Xenopus tropicalis: one gene and its partner. The protein of the gene in region 1 binds, or shares a complex with, the protein of each later gene. Links are inferred from orthologs where the notes say so. Each region holds a gene or a part of one and is shown on either strand. Other genes may lie near its edges. The genes, in order: grb14 and insr.

Region 1 (3,826 bases):
TCTATTATAATCAACGACAAGGAGAACGGGTGAGCTTCTATTATAATCAATGACAAGGGGAACGGGTGAGTTTCTATTATAATCAACGACAAGGAGAACGGGTGAGCTTCTATTATAATCAATGACAAGGGGAACGGGTGAGTTTCTATTATCATCAATGACAAGGGGAACGGGTGAGCTTCTATTATAATCAATGACAAGGGGAACGGGTGAGCTTCTATTATAATCAATGACAAGGGGAACGAGTGAGCTTCTATTATAATCAATGACAAGGGGAACGAGTGAGCTTCTATTATAATCAATGACAAGGGGAACGGGTGAGCCTCTATTATAATCAATGACAAGGGGAACGGGTGAGCTTCTATTATAATCAATGACAAGGGGAACGGCTGAGCCTCTATTATAATCAATGACAAGGGGAACGGGTGAGTTTCTATTATAATCAATGACAAGGGGAACGGGTGAGCTTCTATTATAATCAATGACAAGGGGAACGGGTGAGCTTCTATTATAATCAATGACAAGGGGAACGGTTGAGCTTCTATTATAATCAATGACAAGGGGAACGAGTGAGCTTCTATTATAATCAATGACAAGGGGAACAGGTGAGCTTCTATTATAATCAATGACAAGGGGAACGGTTGAGCTTCTATTATAATCAATGACAAGGGGAACGGTTGAGCTTCTATTATAATCAATGACAAGGGGAACGGTTGAGCTTCTATTATAATCAATGACAAGGGGAATAGGTGAGCTTCTATTATCATCAATGGGAAACAAGGGAAGTAACTAGGTTTGGGTGTTTTTCCACTTGCAGAGAAACCTACAGAAGTCCCATTAGTCTAAACCTGTCACCCTAAACAATAAAAGGGCAGCCGCAGTTTGTACTGTAAGTGAATTTAAACCCTGCAGGCTGAGCTCATCCTCATTCTTCGAAATCTACCTTTAGCCAGAGGGAGCTGAACTTTGTAGCTAATCAGAGACTGAACTGTTTGCATCAATGTATTTAAAATCAGAGTCAAATTTAATTTGCAAGAGAGAATCAGATCTAAAACTGATCTAAACACACAAGTATGAGTCAGAATAGGGACTTTATATGTGTGATATGTGGTTGAATTGGAAAAATTCACAAGATCCAAGAATCTATGAAGATTCTCATTCATCCAGGTCATGATATACAATATCTAGTAGAATTACGTCTAAACAACTGGAGTTTTTTCTTGAAAACGTTTCACCACTCATCCAAGTGGCTTCTTCAGTTCAACTGAGTGGTAGGGAATTCCCCAGCATTTAAAGGAACAGTAACACCAAAAAATGAAAGTGTATAAAAGTAACTAAAATATAATGTGCTGCTGCCCTGCACTGGTAAAAATTGTGTGTTTACTTCAGAAAGTCTACTATAATTTATATAAATAAGCTGCTATGTAGCCATGGAGGCAGCCATTGAAAGGAGAAAAGGCACAGGCACATAACAGATAACGTTTTCAAGAAAAAACTCGAAGTTGTTTAGACTTAATTCTACTAGATACAGTTCAGTCAGGCAATTCACAGATATATTTATCTTGCATTAAAATAAGAACTAATAGTAGTGTCTCCATTTTTTACTGAGGGCATCATTTACAGGAAAAGGTAATTTGGAAATAAACTACAGAAAAATGTTACCTTGAACAATCTAATTGCCGTCACCCAGCAGATTTTGCTCTCTTCATTGTCTGCACAAAACAATTTCAGCTCCTTGGAACCTCCTGTCTTGTTAGGCTAGAAGGCCACAGCACATTGTGATTAATGCATATCTTGAAGGCAATACCTGTTGAAATAAAAGCAACTAAAATTCTCCTATGTAAAACAGGAAAAACATCAATATACCCGGCCAGTTTCTGAACAAAGCCAGTTTTTAATAGCAAGGGTACCAATATAAAATAGCAGAAAATGTACCTTAAGGCAGAACCCATAGTCTGTTGGTGCTCCATAAAGCTTTCTCCCTGAGAGTAACATATAAGCTTCACTTTGGTGAAAATCAGTAAAAAACTGTAGATGACGCGGATCCTAAATCGAATACAAAATGAAATTCAAAATTCCATTGATATTTGAAACATACAAGATAGGGTTGTTTACTTTTATTTATACTGAAATGTATGTTACTGTCCTTTAGGCTGATGCCACACATGGCGTAGGGCTGATTTTTTCGGCAAGCGGAAAAACGCTTGCCAAAAATTCAGCCCTACGCCTGCTACTTGTGCCTGCACCCGAATGAATGGAATACGCTCGGGTGCAGGCACATGTAGCCGATATACCAGGGGTCTCAAACTCGCGGCCCGCGGGCCATTTGCGGCCCTTCGTACAATATTTTGTGGCCCGCACCAACGCCTTCTCAAAAGCAATGAATGGATCACGATTTTTATTGCGATTCAAGGGATAATGCAAGGCACGGCGGGCGGGAGCTGCTGATTGCGGAAATGACCTTATGCCATCATAACAGTTATTATAGGAAGACGTTCTGTGTGCACAATTAGCTGCTAAGGAGCTAATTGTGCACACAGAACGTCTTCCCATAATAACTGTTATGATGGCATAACGTCATTTCCGCAATCAGCAGCTCCCGCCCGCCGTGCCTTGCATTATCCCTTGAAAGCCAATTTTTTGTGAAATCCCTTATGCGGCCCAGCCTCATCCTGACTTTGCCTCCTGCGGCCCCCAGGTAAATTGAGTTTGAGCCCCCTGCGATATACGCATGAAAAAGTGAGACTATGCATTCTCACGTGTTTTCATGCGTATATCGGCTACATGTGCCTGCACCCGAGCGTATCTCATTCATTCGGGTGCAGGCACAAGTAGCAGGCGTAGGGCTGAATTTTCGGCTTGCTGAAAAAATCAGCCCTACGCCATGTGTGGCATCAGCCTTATTGGTTTACCTCCATTTAAAGGGGTACTAAACCCTGCTGTGCTGCACTGCTCAACCAAATTTTACTCAGCTGTTGCTGGACTACAAATCCCAGAATAATGTAACATATAATGAAGGTTGAGGCTGTAGTTCAGTAACATCAGGGTTTTATTCTTAAAGCAATATTGCACAATAAAGTTTTTACAAAACTTTCCCTGAAATCTCCAGGACCAGCGGCTGCATTAAAATGCAAGAAATCCTCCAATGAGAATCCCAGCTGATCTGTGTAAATCTGGCTCCATGTTCTCTGTTCAAAAATAAAAAATGATTGGTGAACTTTGTATAAAATACTTGCGAAAAAAAGCTTTAGTTCCTAGTTGTTGCTCTGTGCTGCAACCAAATACAATTGTAGAAATCCAAAAAATAGGAAAAAAGCTTCAGCAGGTTTACTGCAAAACATTTATTTATTCGGGTATTGACCCAAAACATGTCATGTTACCACTACCCACAATAAATGTTTTGCAGTAAACCTGCTGAAGCTTTTTTCCTATTTTTTGGATTTCCATGTTCTCTGTTCCAGCAATTGGAGTTGGGAGCATTAAGCACAGTTTCCCAGCACTGAACAAGTCTGTCCTTTATCCCCATGTCTGATTCCTTTGTCTTATAATGAAGGGAAAAAAATGACATAATTATCTCTATATGTAAGATACCAGCAAGATGCCTGGCACAGTGATGGGAATCCACATTCTCATTGGTCAATTATTTTACATTTATAATTAAGTTTTTGATCAGTAGAATTTACAACCCTAGATACTACCAATGCCAGTTTCTTTCACACTGGAAATGTCTGCATTCTGCCTCTTTCTAGAGGTATCTGTAGAACATAACTCCTTAGTAAAAATTATTTAAAAAAAAACGTTAACAAAATGTAAATGTATTTCGATG
Region 2 (3,826 bases), on another chromosome or scaffold:
GAATTACAAATTTTGGTGGGTGGTGACAAATGTTAAATTAAATGTCACCCAGTTATGCTGCCTTTCCTTCTCCTTTAATTAAGTTGGCCTTCAATATTATTTCAGAGGTCAGAGCCAGGAGTGCAAAGAAAGTAAACAGACAGCCAAATACTGCTTTCAGTAGCAATTACATTTGCACAAATATGTTTTCTGTGGACATAAAAATAAGTTTGGCACTGCATTTATAGAGTTCTATTTTTGGTTTGTAGATACAGATTTTTTCACAAGATTTTTACATTACATTTCACATTCACCGATATTAAAAATTAACATAAGGAACATATTTGTAGAGACATAACTTGTGAGATCAAAAGAAAAAGTTTCTCAAGCCTGTTTTAGAGCCTACACACTAAAATGCTTCTTTCCTTATACCAGACCCTACCAGAATGTCACAGAATTTGATGGTCAGGATGCTTGTGGTTCCAATAGTTGGACAGTGGTAGATATGGATGCCCCAGAACGAAGTGCTGATGGCAAGACTCTATCTCCGGGATGTTTGCTCCGTAACCTGAAACCATGGACTCAGTATGCAGTGTTTGTTAAAACACTGGTATCCGGATCAGATGAAGGAAGAACTTATGGTGCAAAAAGCAAAATTATCTATATTCGTACCAATGAAACCAGTAAGTATTTTAAGAAACTTTTAACTAATTTTATATGAGGCAGAAATATAAAATGCAAGGTATTGGTATATCTGTCATAACTTATTATATTTATTACACAGTCCCCTCTGTTCCTCTGGATCCTTTCTCTGTGTCCAACTCAACCTCTCAGATTATTCTAAAATGGAAACCACCTTCTGAGCCCAATGGAAATGTCACTCACTACCTTGTGTACTGGCAAGAACAACCTGAAGACAGTGAACTTTATGAGCTGGATTACTGCAATAAAGGTAAACAGTTTGCACAAATGTGCTATCATCTACTTACCTTTAGTAATAGTGTGAACAGCATATAGTGGAAGTATGTATTCTAATGAGGATGCTTCAGACCTACATTAACAGAAGTTCTAATAATCAGAACTATATAGATGTTTAGTAAAAATGGCTTTCAAGTACAAACACTGATAATTGTTATGCAGATCTGCCAGCTGAGCACAAGTCTGCAGGAGTGGGGTTAAGGGCCAGGGCAAGGGTGCCGATAAGTGCAGGCTTACAGTCCACCCTTATGCTTAAATAATCTTCCAGTTGTGCCTGCACCAAAATCATTGAATTGGTGCGGGCACACGCAGCTGATATCCACCATCAAACTCGAGACTTGGCGTTTGTTGGTGGATATGAGCTGCATGTGCAGGTTGACAATCTGCCCCATGTGCCCTTGCACTAAGATTCTTTTTACACATTCCATGCATAAAATGCCTAAGAGGCTAATTCCCTTATCTCTTTTCCTGTAGGTCTTAAGTTGCCTTCCAGAACTTGGACTCCTCCCTCGGATATTGAGGAAAATGGAAATATAAATCAGACAGACCAACCTTCATCCAAGTGCTGTCCCTGTCCCAAAACTGATTTCCAAATCCAGAAAGAACAGGATGAATCAGCATTCAGAAAAACATTTGAAAATTATCTACATAATGAAGTTTTTATACCTAGGTGAGAAAAACTTATAAGAGATAAGAGCCACCAAGAAAGGGAAATAGTTACAAGGCCTGTGGCATACTATGCTTTCTCTCAGCTGGCAAAAAAACACCGGTAAAGAAAAGCAGATGGGGCCTAAAATGCTATATATGTGTGCATATTGACAGGATGGGAATTTGTCTCTAATTCTGTGCACACAGGGCAGGTATTAGAAAGATCATGTCAATGTCCACACGTGTGACAGGTTTCGGTCCCATCTGCCTTTTTTCCACCAGTTTTTTTCTATCAAGTTTGACTTTTTCAAACAACTCTACATAATGATCTAGAGTCCATAATTCCTAGCAGGGGTGGAGTTTAGGGGATTATTTCCTGCCCTAAAATAATACTCTTTAAGAAAGAGCCTTATCAGCCTCTGTACCAGTAGGGTACAATTCAAGGCAGATAAGTAATGTATGAGAAACCAAGACTAATTTCTTTATGTGTCTAGCTCCCTCTTTTCTATGCATTTGTAAGTCAGAAAACCATGTGTTTTGCAGACCTGTTCGAAAACGGCGTGAACTATTTGGAGTAGCCAATGGAACTCTGCCAGACCCAGTGACAGCCCCTTCTCTCTTCAATGCCTCCTCCACCCGTGCTCCGGATGAAACAGAGCCAAAGATATATTCACAGAAAGTTTGGTTTAAGGAGTCTCTAATGGTCACTGGCTTAAAGCATTTTACTGGTTACCGCATTGAGATTCATGCCTGCAACCACGAACTCTCCATGGGATGTAGCGTGGCAGCATATGTTAGTGCAAGGACAATGCCAGAGGGTAAGCCTTTTTGGTGCTCAGTTCACAATTTTATCTTTGTTTCAGTCTCTGAAACTGCATAAACCTTGTAATTAAGGTTTGTATACATTTATCAAACTTCCGGGTGCATTATACAATGTATATTAAATAACGTGTATAGGTAAGCCACCATCTTACATGTTTGCATATCTGTGCTGTTAGAAGTTGAAATCTTTATTAAAGAGTTGAAAATCACCTATTCCAGTGGGTACCTGTTCTTGTTGGAATGCCATTCACTGGAATCCTTTCTTGTCCAGTTTGCTATGCCGTTGTGAGATTATCTGTTATGCACATAGGGCTCTGGCACATGAGGGAGATTAATCGCCCGCGACAAATCTCCCTTGTTGCGGGTGACTAATATATGATGATATAATATATATAATATATGATATGACATGACATGTAAATCACCGGTGGGATGGCATATGTGGCGGCGTGATCATCGAAGTTGCCTCTTAAGGCAACTTTGGCGATTTTCGCAAATCGCGGCGCTGCGTACATCATCCCACCAGCGATTTACATCTTTGCCGGTGGTATGTCATATCGGGGAGATTAGTCGCCCGCAACAAGGGAGATTTGTCGCGGGCGACTAATCTCCCTCGTGTTCCAGAGCCCTTAGCTAGATAACCCCTGCTTATTTCCTATGTAAATGGATAGAAATGTGTCAGAACTCTCATAGATATGTTTTTGTTTTCTTTTTTTATAGCCACTGCCGACAATGTTGTGGGACCCATCACCTATGAGTATATTGAACCTAATATAATCCATTTAAAATGGCAAGAACCAAAAGATCCAAATGGGCTAATAGTTTTGTATGAGGTGCATTACTCCCGAGTTGGGGGCACAGAGGTAAGATTTCAGGGCCTCTTCAGATTTGAATATTTTTGTAGAATGATTTATTTTCTTGGAGTATCCCACAACAGTAGTCAAACTGTGCTTTCTTTCTGCATTCCCCATTGCAGGAAGTGATTAGCTGCGTGTCACAGAAGCAGTATAGCACAGACAAAGGGGCAAAACTCAGGGTATTAACCCCAGGGAATTACAGTGTAAAGATCCGTGCAACCTCCCTGGCAGGCAATGGATCATGGACAGAACCAGCCTACTTCCAAGTGCCAGACCACCGTAAGTAAAAATATTTTTTATGTTTAGGGACGGTTTGCTTGTGTTTATACTTATTTCTTTTGTTATGCTGTAGCTCTTATGTATTTTATTTGTATGCATACATTGCTAATTAGTTTTCTCTTAGTATGCTTTTGCTCTTAGAGGTATTAGAGGTAAAACATATTTGTCAGATTTCAGTAGTCATAATAAATCAGTCATAATAAAACCTGCAATATGGTGTAGGCTGTTTTAGTGTATTGCAGCAATGTAATAGGAAAAATGGC

The links.
Region 2: the proteins of grb14 (region 1) and insr are in contact, whole or in part, in a crystal structure (PDB 2AUH), measured with the Homo sapiens proteins. The link is inferred for Xenopus tropicalis from reciprocal best matches to the Homo sapiens genes GRB14 and INSR. Residues at the interface, in NP_004481.2 of Homo sapiens: Glu373, Asn374, Ser375, Leu376, Val377, Ala378, Met379, Asp380, Phe381, Ser382, Ser386, Val388, Ile389, Glu394, Val398, Ala399, Glu401, Glu402, Gly403, Leu404, Trp406, Arg407; in NP_000199.2 of Homo sapiens: Leu1065, Arg1066, Ile1069, Glu1070, Lys1112, Arg1116, Arg1163, Met1180, Arg1182, Tyr1190, Lys1192, Gly1193, Gly1194, Lys1195, Gly1196, Leu1197, Leu1198, Pro1199, Val1200, Trp1202, Ser1207, Leu1208, Lys1209, Asp1210, Gly1211, Gln1235, Asn1242, Glu1243, Leu1246.

What each region holds. Positions count from the first base shown.
Region 1 is NC_030685.2:70,838,577-70,842,402, reverse strand, and holds part of grb14 (growth factor receptor-bound protein 14), read right to left. Parts: intron 2,047-3,826; coding exon 1,936-2,046; intron 1,759-1,935; coding exon 1,663-1,758; intron 1-1,662. UniProt on the Homo sapiens protein: Adapter protein which modulates coupling of cell surface receptor kinases with specific signaling pathways. Binds to, and suppresses signals from, the activated insulin receptor (INSR). Potent inhibitor of insulin-stimulated MAPK3 phosphorylation.
Region 2 is NC_030677.2:111,781,920-111,785,745, reverse strand, and holds part of insr (insulin receptor), read left to right. Parts: intron 1-414; coding exon 415-662; intron 663-763; coding exon 764-931; intron 932-1,431; coding exon 1,432-1,627; intron 1,628-2,148; coding exon 2,149-2,423; intron 2,424-3,147; coding exon 3,148-3,290; intron 3,291-3,403; coding exon 3,404-3,563; intron 3,564-3,826. UniProt on the Homo sapiens protein: Receptor tyrosine kinase which mediates the pleiotropic actions of insulin.